Oryzias latipes: one gene and its partners. The protein of the gene in region 2 interacts with the protein of the main gene of each other region in a pairwise test. Links are inferred from orthologs where the notes say so. Each region holds a gene or a part of one and is shown on either strand. Other genes may lie near its edges. The genes, in order: gigyf1, grb10 and gigyf2.

Region 1 (3,654 bases), on a different chromosome or scaffold from region 2:
GTTTAAAAAAATAAATACATATAAATAAAACGTTTGTACCCGTTTTTGTTTTTTTGACGAGGAATTAGTGAAGGAAGATTGGTGATTTGTAGAAGTAGTTTCTAATTTGCAAATACTTCAACATTTTTTAGATTAAATTCGTTTCTCACATGGAGAACTCAACCGTCCTTCAGAGCCAAAAGATTCTTCATATTTTGTTTTTGCATTGTTCCTGATTTATTGTGTATTTGTTGTCGTCACAGGAACATTTTCTGTTTTTAGGTTTCTTAACAGCTTCCTGCCTCGTTCACCATTAATCTCCCTTCTAGGGTTGTGCCGATGGACGATGGTGATGGGTGACTGACATCCCGATGGAGAGACACCATCGTGATGCCACGCCCCCGCCACGTTGCGAGTCGACACCATAATCCGCAGTTACATGTGCAAAATATCTTGATGGGATCAATGGTCGGATTAGAATCCAAACGTGTACATGGTTCCAGAAAAATGTTTTCAGAATATAACAAATGTTCACATGGGTCACACTTTCGGTCGGAATAAATCATTCGCACATGCGCAGTAGGGTTTGAAAAACCGGAAGCGGATATAATTTCCGCCGAGCGGCTATTTTTTTTTCAAACTTTATTGAATGTAACAATTCAATACAAAACAATGTTGCCGAGCTGCTATATATATTGACATGTCAGTGGCTGCGGGACGGATCGCAGTCTTAAATCTCCCACACATAGCGCTCATGTAACAAAGCACCCCCCCATCAAACACAAAGCTGTAAGTCCGCGCTCCGCCGGTCCACTTCACTAGTGAAGTGCGGGAGCGGACCACTTCTTGTCTATTTTGTTTGTTACTTTTTTTGTTAAAGTCACTTCCCTCAGTTTATATTGGATCATCGCGGATGAGTCATTAGTTGGGGAATAAAATAAAGTAATAAAGTAAAATAACGAATAGCAATTATGACAACGACAAATTTAACACACACACCCCCCCCACGATATCATCGTCCATCCCGATGGTTGACAGCAAACATCGTCAACGGCCAATTTAGGGGACATCGCCCGACCCTACTCCCTTCCACACGTTTCCTCAGATCACAAACATCTTCAGCAGGTCGGCAACTTTTTTTGGTCGAAACACACGGATTTTGCAGCTGAGCGCCTCTTGTGACCGACTTTTAAGGTGTGACAGATAAATAAAGCAAAATAAAACCAAAAAAAGAAAAAAACTATCCAAATACATTTTGTTTGCTTCTTAGCTTTGGGGTTTTAGATTTAGCGGTCTGGGCAACAGCTTCAAGTCACGTGTCGCGTCAAAACAGATGGATCGGGTGAAGAGAATCCGGTGGTTTTTCAAAATAAAACGTTCTTCAGTTTTAAAAAAAGAAACAAATAATCAAAGTACCGGTACCGGCCCGCGGACCACTGAACGTGTGTGGGAGTTCACCTGCAGAGGGAAGTTCATGTTCAGTCCTCCCACGTCCTTCGACAACTGGAAACCAAAGAGAAGAAAAGGAGCCGTTTAACACATTTTCTACATTATTTGCACTTTATTCTCCGTTTCTGAAAAGAAAAAAAAAGAGTTAAAAACCAGAATAAAGGCATTAAACTGTGAGCAAAAAACTGAAATAGTCGAGCTTTTTGAGAGAAAAATGTATCTTTAGACATGTTTCAACACATTTGTAAATTATGGGTTGAACTTTTCTCTGAAAATGTTACGACTTTAGTCGAATAAAATTGACTTTTTCATCATTTTACCACTTTCTTATAATTTTGACTTTAGTGTAATATTTTGACCAATTTTTCATGAATTTGCTGTTTGTCTCAGAATTTTTTACTGTTAAATTTGGACTTTTTTCAGAATTTCCCAATTCTTTTCAGATTTTATGACTGTTTTAAACAAAATTTTAATTTTTGATGATAATCTTACAACTATTGTAAATCTTGACCCATTTTCACTTTTTCTTTTGAATTTACAACTTTTACATCATTTCATGGCTATTCTCGCAAAAATTTTATTTATTTATATATATATATATATATATATATATATAAATAAAATTTTTAATTTTAATTTCTCTTTAATTTTACGACATTATTCTCAGAGTTTTACAACTATTCTTGTAAACATTAGACATTTTTAGTAGAATTTTTATGACTATTTTCATAATTTTATGACTTTTCCCTCATAATTTTCTGTTATTTAATGACTCTTCTTGTTAAATTTGGACTTTTTCATAATTTTTTTTTTTTAAATTTAACGAATTTATTCTCATAAAGTTTTGATTCATAATTTTTCCTGCTTTAATTTTAAGATTTTTCTAAAATATTCATCTGTGTATTCTTCTGATCTGCTTTCAGGAGGGCCGTGGCGTGTTCTCTGGACGCCCGGTCGTGTCTTGTGGCGGCGCCGACACCGACCTGCTGCTGCTGCTGCCTCTGTTGGTTGGCTTTCTGTTTGGCACGGCGCTCCAGAAACTGTTTGGCAAACTCTTTGGCTTCCACGGTGTCCCCAAGGTAAGACCGGATGAAATCCAGCACTGCATAGGGAGACTCCACCTCTTTCAGGTACGCCACGATGGTGGCGACTGTGCAAAGACACAGCAGAGGGCTGATTAGCCATGGGAAGACGGAGGGGGGTCACTTCCGGGCGGAAGCTGAGCGGCCTACCGTCCAGGGAGCAGGAGGAGTTGTTGGCGGAGCTGTTGAGAGCGTGCAGCATCTGCTCACACCAGGTGGTGAAGCCGTCCTGAGGCTTCATGCCCTGCAGCAGCTTCAGCAGCTTCTCCTCCTCCTCCGTCCTCTTCCGGCGCATCATGTACTGCTCGCTGAAGGAGACGCCACAGGTTACAACACCAAGCGACGGGATTCGAACCCGCCATTCCGGCCCGCCACCTACTTCAGGGAGGGGCTGCTGCGGCTGTTCTTCAGGCCCAGGTTGTTGCTGTTTCCGCGCAGACTGGCCTGGTTCTTCAAGGCCTCGTCCCACAAGCCCATGCTGCTCGACGAGCCGCCGCTGCCGCTTTTGGACTCCAGCGCCCCCCACATGCCCACGCCGTCTGCCCACTGCCCCCCCATGGAGGAGCTCCCCATGGACAGGCCCGAGTGCTGCGGGCAGAAAGGGGCGTGAGCGTGCGAGCGGCCCGCGGCAGCGTTTTTTTTCTCCGAGACTCACCCGCTCTCGCTGCTGCTGAACGCGCTGCTGCTTCAGGAGCCGCTCCGCCTCCTGCTGCATCTCCAGCAGGGCCAGCGCCGACGGCTTCCCGGGCTTCGACAGGCCGGACGAGCCCCCGCTCCAGTTGGAGCTTCCCGCCCCCGTCTGCTGGGGCGCCTGCTGCAGCAGCTTCATGATCAGCTCCTGCTGCCGCTGGACAGAGGAAACGCGCGTCAAACGGACCGCCTACTGGACACACAGATCAATAAACTCCCCAGCTTCGTCTCACCTTGCGCCGGAAGAGCTCCTCTTCCTCCCTTCGTTTCTGCTCCTCCTGTTGCCTCCTTTTCTCCTCCCTTCTCTTGCGCTGCTCCTCCTCCTCACGCTTTGCCCTGAGTTCGGCGTCTCGCCTCTCCTGGAGCTTGAAAGGAGCACATCAAATCAAAATCAAACGACCAGTGGGGTGAAATGTAGGCTCCCTTTGCCCCGTCTCCTGGAGGAGCAGGGAGC
Region 2 (3,654 bases):
TTTCTTGTATAAAATTTTGGCCTTTCGTGATAGATGCGTGATATACGTCATTTAGAATCGTTTCTTGCGTTCGTCATTCGTTGATGTGCGCAACTGTACATCGAGGGTTTTGGCAGACGGGTCTGTAGGTGAATTTGGTTTTGAGCAGTTCAAAATTTTTGGTCAGTTGCGCAGTTCATGCGTATTTCACATCTTTTATACCCAATTTTACGTAACCTTAGGAAATTGTGTGTGATTTTTGTGAGATGCATATGCAAATCGTTGGCTTTTCACGACCGTTTCATGCATGTCTAACAGACTTTTCACGCATGTACCACTATGTATAACTTTTATATTGTGCATACAGCGCATATGTGACGTTCAAAATATGTAACTGATGTACACATCACTAATAAATTGCATATAAACAGGACAATAATCACACACGGTTCAATGTTCTACGTCTGTTTACGTGTTCTTTTTCGTGGATTATTCGTACTTCTTCTGTAGTTTTAACGTGGTTCATTTGCAATGCATCCATGAAAATTTTACGTAAAGACCACAACTTTTATCCCTTTTTCCACGTATATTTACATGCGATCAATTTTCCCTTTGCGCAATATGTTCAAGATGCACGTACTAGCTGTGCGACACGGCCTTATGTGCACGGTAAAGTATTTATAGTGTAGTTGTTGCACAGAGCCCCTATGCAGCACTCGAGCAATTAGCAAGGTGCGAGTACAGGGTCTTTATTGACTGCACACACAGGACGTGGAGGTGTACGTAAGTGCCTGTAGGACGTCCGTAGGATGGTCACACGAACCACCATCTGATTGTCTAATTTAAATTCTAAAAGTCAGGCTGTGCAAACTGAGGGCACACTTTTCCCTGAACAGCACTAACGGGCTCTTTACGCAGTCTGTATTCATGGAGTTTGAAAACATGAAAAATCCGTACGACGCGCCTGCATTTCATGTACTTCACCCTTACTTACCCTTATGTGAAGTGTTTGCCCGCAAAATGTCAAAGGAAAAAAATCTGGATTAACATTTCGGCTCTGACTGAGTGAATTACCTACGACACGGATATTTCCTGGGGTCCATCTACGGGCCCCGGCTTGCCAAATTGACCCATTCGGGCAGGTGTGACAAGACACAAGAACAAAGCACAATTTGACCTGCTTCATACGTGGGATTGATTTAAAAATGGGTAATCTAGAAAACAGTATTATTAGAAAAGTGCCAAATCCTATAAATCACTCCCTGATTAATATTTTTCATGCTTTTTTGCACAAAAACAAACTTGCACCATAAATATTTAGCAACTGTATTTGCAGCTTTTGGCTTTCCCTTTAAGACTGTGTATTTTTATCAAAATTTGAATTTATGGGAGAAAAACAGTTTTTAATTTACCTTAAACTGAATTTTAAGCAAACAAGGTATTAAAATGACTTTTTTTTTTGCATTGAATTATAAATTGCAAACTACATTTTCAAAAGCCATGACCAAATTCAACGTTGAATTTTAGATTGCAAAATACTTTTACATTTGATTGGCATCAAAAACCCATGACAATTTAAATTCAATAGATTTAGCTTTTTGACTTAAAATGTCATTTTACAATTTTAATATTGAATTGTACTTATTTTTAGATTGAATTCTAAATGGCAAAATGCATTTTCAAATTGTCAATTGAATTGTTAATTGAGAATTGAATATTACTTTAAATCATGGGTGGGGAAAAAACTTCCATACGAGTGGGAATGACGTTGCTTTGCTATGCAATTTGCCTTAACGTTCTTAAAATGAGTCTTGTTTATCTTTATATTGGTTTGTTTTCTAACATTTTGTACAAGTGTGCATTTTTCTCTTCGTGCAAATGAGGTGGATATTAGGAGAGAAACCATCAATCCTGGAGAAAACAGTAAAGCAGTACGGAGCTCTGCACTAACCTGACAGCGAGGATGTGCATGGGCTGTGACCTTCTGAGGCTGGTCCTGGGCAGATCTGCTGACAGTGAGGAGGAGGAAGGCAACTCTGGGGAAGTGTGGCTTAACACCTGTGGCTGCTGAAGCTGCCGTGCCTGGTTGTGTTGGATATGATGATGGTGATGATGGTGGTGTGAGGAAGAGGACTGTCCATTATGTAGGAGCGGAGTCGACTCTGTCTGCGGACCGCTGCAGGAGGAGTACAGGCTCTCCAGGGAGGAGTTCATATCATTCACCAGGGCCTCCAAGTCCACGTCATCCTCTGAAAGATGAAGGTTACATGGACGTATAAATTTATGCTATGCGAAGTAAAGAGCTGCCTCTTGATCAAAAGAAGTAAACAGTTTTTTAAAGCCCCCATTTAACTTGCTCTGTAGGGTTTACAGAACCTAAAGTGAACAAAGACAAAAGCAGGAAGTACATGCATAAAGAGGTTTTTCACATTAACGGTCTCTATAAGACCTGCAGGCATGTGTCTGCACGTGCACATGACCACATTTACTGATAACTTAGTAACCAGTGCCAGAACGCCTAATCAGAAGGACTTTCTTGATGACATTCATCATACTTCCCAGTAAAACCTAATCTTCACAAGCATCAGGTACACGCACGAACCTGCCCGCTACACTCTTCAACTCTTACCGGGGGAGCTGAAGCATCTGCTTGAAATTCACCAGGAAACTTTCAACTTAATATTCCGAAAAGCAAGACATTTTCCAGAGGACGAGGCTTCCTTCAAAGGCCCCTTGAAAATCCCCGTGGCACTTTTAGATTCAGGAGGCAGATTCTCTGCTGAAGGGAAACCTGCTTAATTGCTTGAGACTATAAAAGTTTCATTATCAGAAAAAAAAAAAAGAACATGTCTTACTTGGCTCCATTTTCTGTCGAATCACAATTTGCAGTGGGGCTTTGTCTCATTATTTATAATAAAGAAGGCTCATAATTTCATCAAATGCTTATAATTCACAATACTGTTGCGCTATCGCCACTAGGGGGAGACAAAGCTCTCAGTGACTATAGCACCCACAACTACAAGTCAAAAAAGACAATTCTGTGAATTATTACACATATTTGCACACATTACAAACTGATAGTCAAAAGAGGTTGAAAATATAATACCAGATTATAATCTGCAAAAAGAATACAACAAAAGCAGACTGTTTTAAGGATTTGAGCTTTCATAATTGCATGCCAAACAAAAGAATTCCCATTTTTAAAGACGGATGAAGCATGACAAGGGCTAGATGGCTGCTGTTGCATACCACAGGTCTGGCTGCGGGACAGCTAGATCATGCAGGGTGGTGAGTTGGTGAGTGACATGTCACTCTAAAGCTGCTGAATGTCCTTGACGTCAGATGAAACTTGGAAGCACGAACACCAGAAGTTTATACAAAACCTCAAAACAAAAACAAAAAAAACAAATATACAAATATACAAATTCATATTATATATATATATATATATATATATATATATATATATATATATATATATATATATATATATATATATATATATATATATATATATAATAAATATGCACATGAGAAAAAAAATTTTTTCCCAGTGTGGAAAGAGTTCTTTTAAGGTATGTTTGGGGAAAAAGGGGGCACTGAGTAGCAGGAATGTGGGCTCATAGAAGGCCCTTCATGCAGCAACATGGCTCTGTTTCAAGCTACCAGCTTAAA
Region 3 (3,654 bases), on a different chromosome or scaffold from region 2:
AGCATTAATATGTCTACTTTTCTCATTTAAATACATGTATCCAAATTATTTAAAGGGATATTAGCCTCAGCATGAGTTTTGTTTTGGGGTAAAAAGAACCTTTTAGCTAAACAACGGCTTAAAGTAATCGCTTTGGACAAAAATCCTCAGAAATATTCTGCATGTCTGCATTTTTTTTTTTTTATTGGAAATTTAGTTGAACAAACATCCTGTAAACAGGGGGTAAACAGCAAACCAGCTTATCTTTAGGGGGAAAACAAACAAACCCCAAAGCAAACATATAACTTTTCATGACACCTTTCCTTTATGCCGCTGATTTTTTTAAACTAACACAAAGGAGTGGTGGTCTGAAAACAGGTTTCAGATGAGAACTTACCTGAGGAGGTACTGATACTGTAGCTGCTGTAACTGATAAAGGTTGAGAGCAGTGAGCTCCTGCTGCCTCTTTAACCTTTCTTGGTCACCATCTGACTGCAAATGAGGAAAATAAGATACTTTATTGATATTGTCACAGGGATAACAACAATCAAAGAGTGCTCTTTGATCATTAATTCAAAACAAGACAGAGACAGAAGTCAGAACAGTCAAAGCAGCAAACAGAACAATGACTCAACTTTAACATAGAATACAAAACCCCCTAAAGTCCCCCTCCCATGAAAACCAAGTTTTTTAAGTTTTTGACATGTATGTGTGGCATTTGTCTTCTAAAAGAGAACAAATGTAATTAAAAAATCATTAATCAAGTATTTGGCCTTTTAAATTGCTGTCAAACTGTCGCAAAGACACTGGGTTTAAATTATGAGCTGTTGTGATGTCACAACGCCCCGTCCAGCGTGCACATCAGCTCAGGTGCAGCAAACCCCCATGCACTTTAAGTGCGTCCAAGGCTAGAATTTGTTGTTGTCTGGACACATTTAAAATGAAACTTCCCAAATGTGTTCTCTGCATTTGTGTTCTCTCTCTGACCAAGTTTGAACGCTTGCTGTCCGGCATTAAACGGAGAGGGTCAAAATAAAAACAAGAATAAAATTAGGGGTCTTTTTTATCATGGCCTTGATAAAAATAAGAAAAATATCATACATAAAAATAAAAAAAACACAAAAACAGTTTTTTTTGTAGCTGGATCACAATTTTAGAAGGTAGGTTTTGTAACAAAACCAAAGGTTGCTGCGACTAATATTGTTTTTCTATATTTGCTAGCTTGATTTGGTATTTCTGTTCATGTAAAGTGATGCAAAGGACATATAACTATACAACTAATCTACCTAGAAGGAAACAGTTTCTATTTCACAAAAAGGCTCACAAGCGCCACCTGGTGTTTCAAAACAAGCACATTCATGAATCTAGCTTTGAAGACCCACTCCAATGAAAAATCTGTTTTTTCTGTGTTTTTAACATGTTTTTGTAGCATTTTTCTCATGGTGGTGAACATATATAAAATAACTTAAGATCAAAACATCTTTTTTCAAATTGTGCTTATCAGCAGCAGATAAAAAACAGCCGTTTGTTTTTGTTTTTTTATTTAAAAAGATTTTGTAACAGTCATCAAAACCCCATCAGCTCCAGACAGGAGGCAGTTGATAAACCACTTCCAGTCACTAAAGCTCACAGTTTGTGGTAAAGTATAACTCCGTTTTTAACCGTCACTAAAACACACGCTGATTCTCCATCATCACCTTCCCTTTTAAAACATTGAACCAGTAAAATCAGATGACAGCAAACCACTGATCAATATTCTGCAGGGGTTCTTACTTGTAATGGTGGAGGGGAGGGCCCTGGAGTGAATGGTACCCTTCCCCAAATCTTCATGATTTCACCCAGAGGCTGAAACACTTCATCACAACCTCTTTTGACCAACAGAGACACGGTGAAGTAACCAGCCTGAAACCATTCAGACATCTCTTGATTGCTGAACGGACCTGAAGGAGCGAAAGAGCGTCAGGACCAAAACGTCAGACTGAAGCACAGGTTGACGTGAGATTTTTCAGCAGGTCATTTTCCGCATCTCACCCTGTATTTCCCCCTGTGGATCTTTGTAAAGCCATTTAAGAGCAGCTTCGTGGGTGAGAGGCAGGCCTGCAGGCTTGGGCTTCTCTGCTGTCTTTGCTGCAAGCCGGTCGTCATCCGCGCCGCTGTCATGCAAGTATGCAACCATCTTCTCTGCCTCCTAGTAAGAAATGTAGAAACACAGTTTTTAGCTGATTTACCAAATACATTCCAGATAACTACTTAGAAATAAACACACCTGATTTTACTTTTGTTTGATCATTTTACAGCAATTACAGAGAAAAAGAGGCTGTTTGACGGAATTCCCTTTAACATTGAGTTTAAGTATGAGAACTGGACTGAGTGACTTTGCCCTCCTGGTGTTCCAAACAGGCCTAAATCCCATAGACTTATATTGAGAAATAAACAGCTATTACCCAGGCATTCTGTTTGTCAGAATAACCGTTCTTGCTCTTTTCTTTTTTTTTAACATGTTCTTACTAATCCTAATTTGCTTTTTGCTCTTTTTTTCCTGTAGTGCAAGTTATTCAAGTTATAAACTGCCCGATCAGCTTTTTCAATAAAAGCATGTGGTCACACGTCAAATGTTTAAAACGTTTGTGTCGCTCTCTTTCAGGTGTTAAGGATGTGGGTTTCCAACAAGCTAACTCCTGATTAATGAGAATGGTTGCCATAGAAACGTTGACTTGGATCAATCAATGATTACTGGTGTGGTCTGGCTCCAACATGGCAGCATCCATGTCGCCCAAAAATGGCAAATGAAGTCTCCACAGGTGACATCACACTCACTCGGTCCAGTTCTCTAATAATGTCAATGGGTTTAAGCTGAAAGAATCTACCTGCTCAAAGTTTTTTAGTCCGTCTTCATCCGTGTCATGTGGTACAGAGGTGGGCCTGGCAATAGGTGCTATTACGTTTGAAGGGAAAGGTAAATGATTGTTGATGGTCACAGGAACTTCTATAGACTTCTTTTGTGGGAGTTTGGCGGCAGACGACGGAACAGGAGCTTCTGCAAAAACAAAATGAAATAAAATACCAAAATGTTCTATATTTTATTCAACAAAATGAAAGATAAAAGAGAAAAAAGGCCAAACCTGACATGCTTGTGGAAACATGAGTCATAGGACGGGACTCCAGCATGCTACTGATGATGGGGACTCTTAATGGAGCTTTGCAGGGCTCTGGGGGTATCGCTAGAGGCTGCTGCTGCTGCTGCTGCTCGGCTGGCCTCTCCATCTCCTCCGTTCTGTTGGGGTGGATTGAGGGAAAACACTGTGCAGGAGGGTGGGACTCTGCCACTGTCGTAGGAACAGGTGGAATGACAGGCGGAGCCTCCTCTGAAGCTTTGGCCAACTCTAAAAGCAAACCGTCGGGAAACAACATGAGATTTTTCAACCTTTTTTTTAAATCATAAAGAGCTTTTTTAAATAAAAGTACAACTTTTCGTCCAGCATAGGTGGAAACCAATCATGTTGTGTAAAAACAACTGACAAAAGCAAATATTCGGGGAGGCCGACCTTTCCTCTCAGCTTCTATTTTCGCCTCTTGTTCTGTCTCTTTGGTCTCGCTGAGCGGACTGTCCTCCTCCAAACTCTCCTCACACTCTTCTAAGGGCTTAAACTCCAGCTCTGCCTCCTCTGGGATGGG

What was found.
Region 1: the proteins of grb10 (region 2) and gigyf1 interact in a two-hybrid assay, tested with the Homo sapiens proteins (2 studies listed by BioGRID). The link is inferred for Oryzias latipes from reciprocal best matches to the Homo sapiens genes GRB10 and GIGYF1.
Region 3: the proteins of grb10 (region 2) and gigyf2 interact in a two-hybrid assay, tested with the Homo sapiens proteins (2 studies listed by BioGRID). The link is inferred for Oryzias latipes from reciprocal best matches to the Homo sapiens genes GRB10 and GIGYF2.

The regions. Positions count from the first base shown.
Region 1 is NC_019876.2:6,264,126-6,267,779, reverse strand, and holds part of gigyf1 (GRB10-interacting GYF protein 1), read right to left. Parts: intron 3,566-3,654; coding exon 3,434-3,565; intron 3,358-3,433; coding exon 3,166-3,357; intron 3,099-3,165; coding exon 2,890-3,098; intron 2,819-2,889; coding exon 2,661-2,818; intron 2,579-2,660; coding exon 2,412-2,578; intron 1,483-2,411; coding exon 1,438-1,482; intron 1-1,437. UniProt on the Homo sapiens protein: May act cooperatively with GRB10 to regulate tyrosine kinase receptor signaling. May increase IGF1 receptor phosphorylation under IGF1 stimulation as well as phosphorylation of IRS1 and SHC1.
Region 2 is NC_019874.2:13,087,784-13,091,437, reverse strand, and holds part of grb10 (growth factor receptor-bound protein 10), read right to left. Parts: intron 2,229-3,654; coding exon 1,931-2,228; intron 1-1,930.
Region 3 is NC_019875.2:25,019,552-25,023,205, forward strand, and holds part of gigyf2 (GRB10-interacting GYF protein 2), read right to left. Parts: coding exon 3,525-3,654; intron 3,363-3,524; coding exon 3,102-3,362; intron 3,017-3,101; coding exon 2,847-3,016; intron 2,168-2,846; coding exon 2,011-2,167; intron 1,920-2,010; coding exon 1,753-1,919; intron 472-1,752; coding exon 377-471; intron 1-376. UniProt on the Homo sapiens protein: Key component of the 4EHP-GYF2 complex, a multiprotein complex that acts as a repressor of translation initiation. In the 4EHP-GYF2 complex, acts as a factor that bridges EIF4E2 to ZFP36/TTP, linking translation repression with mRNA decay.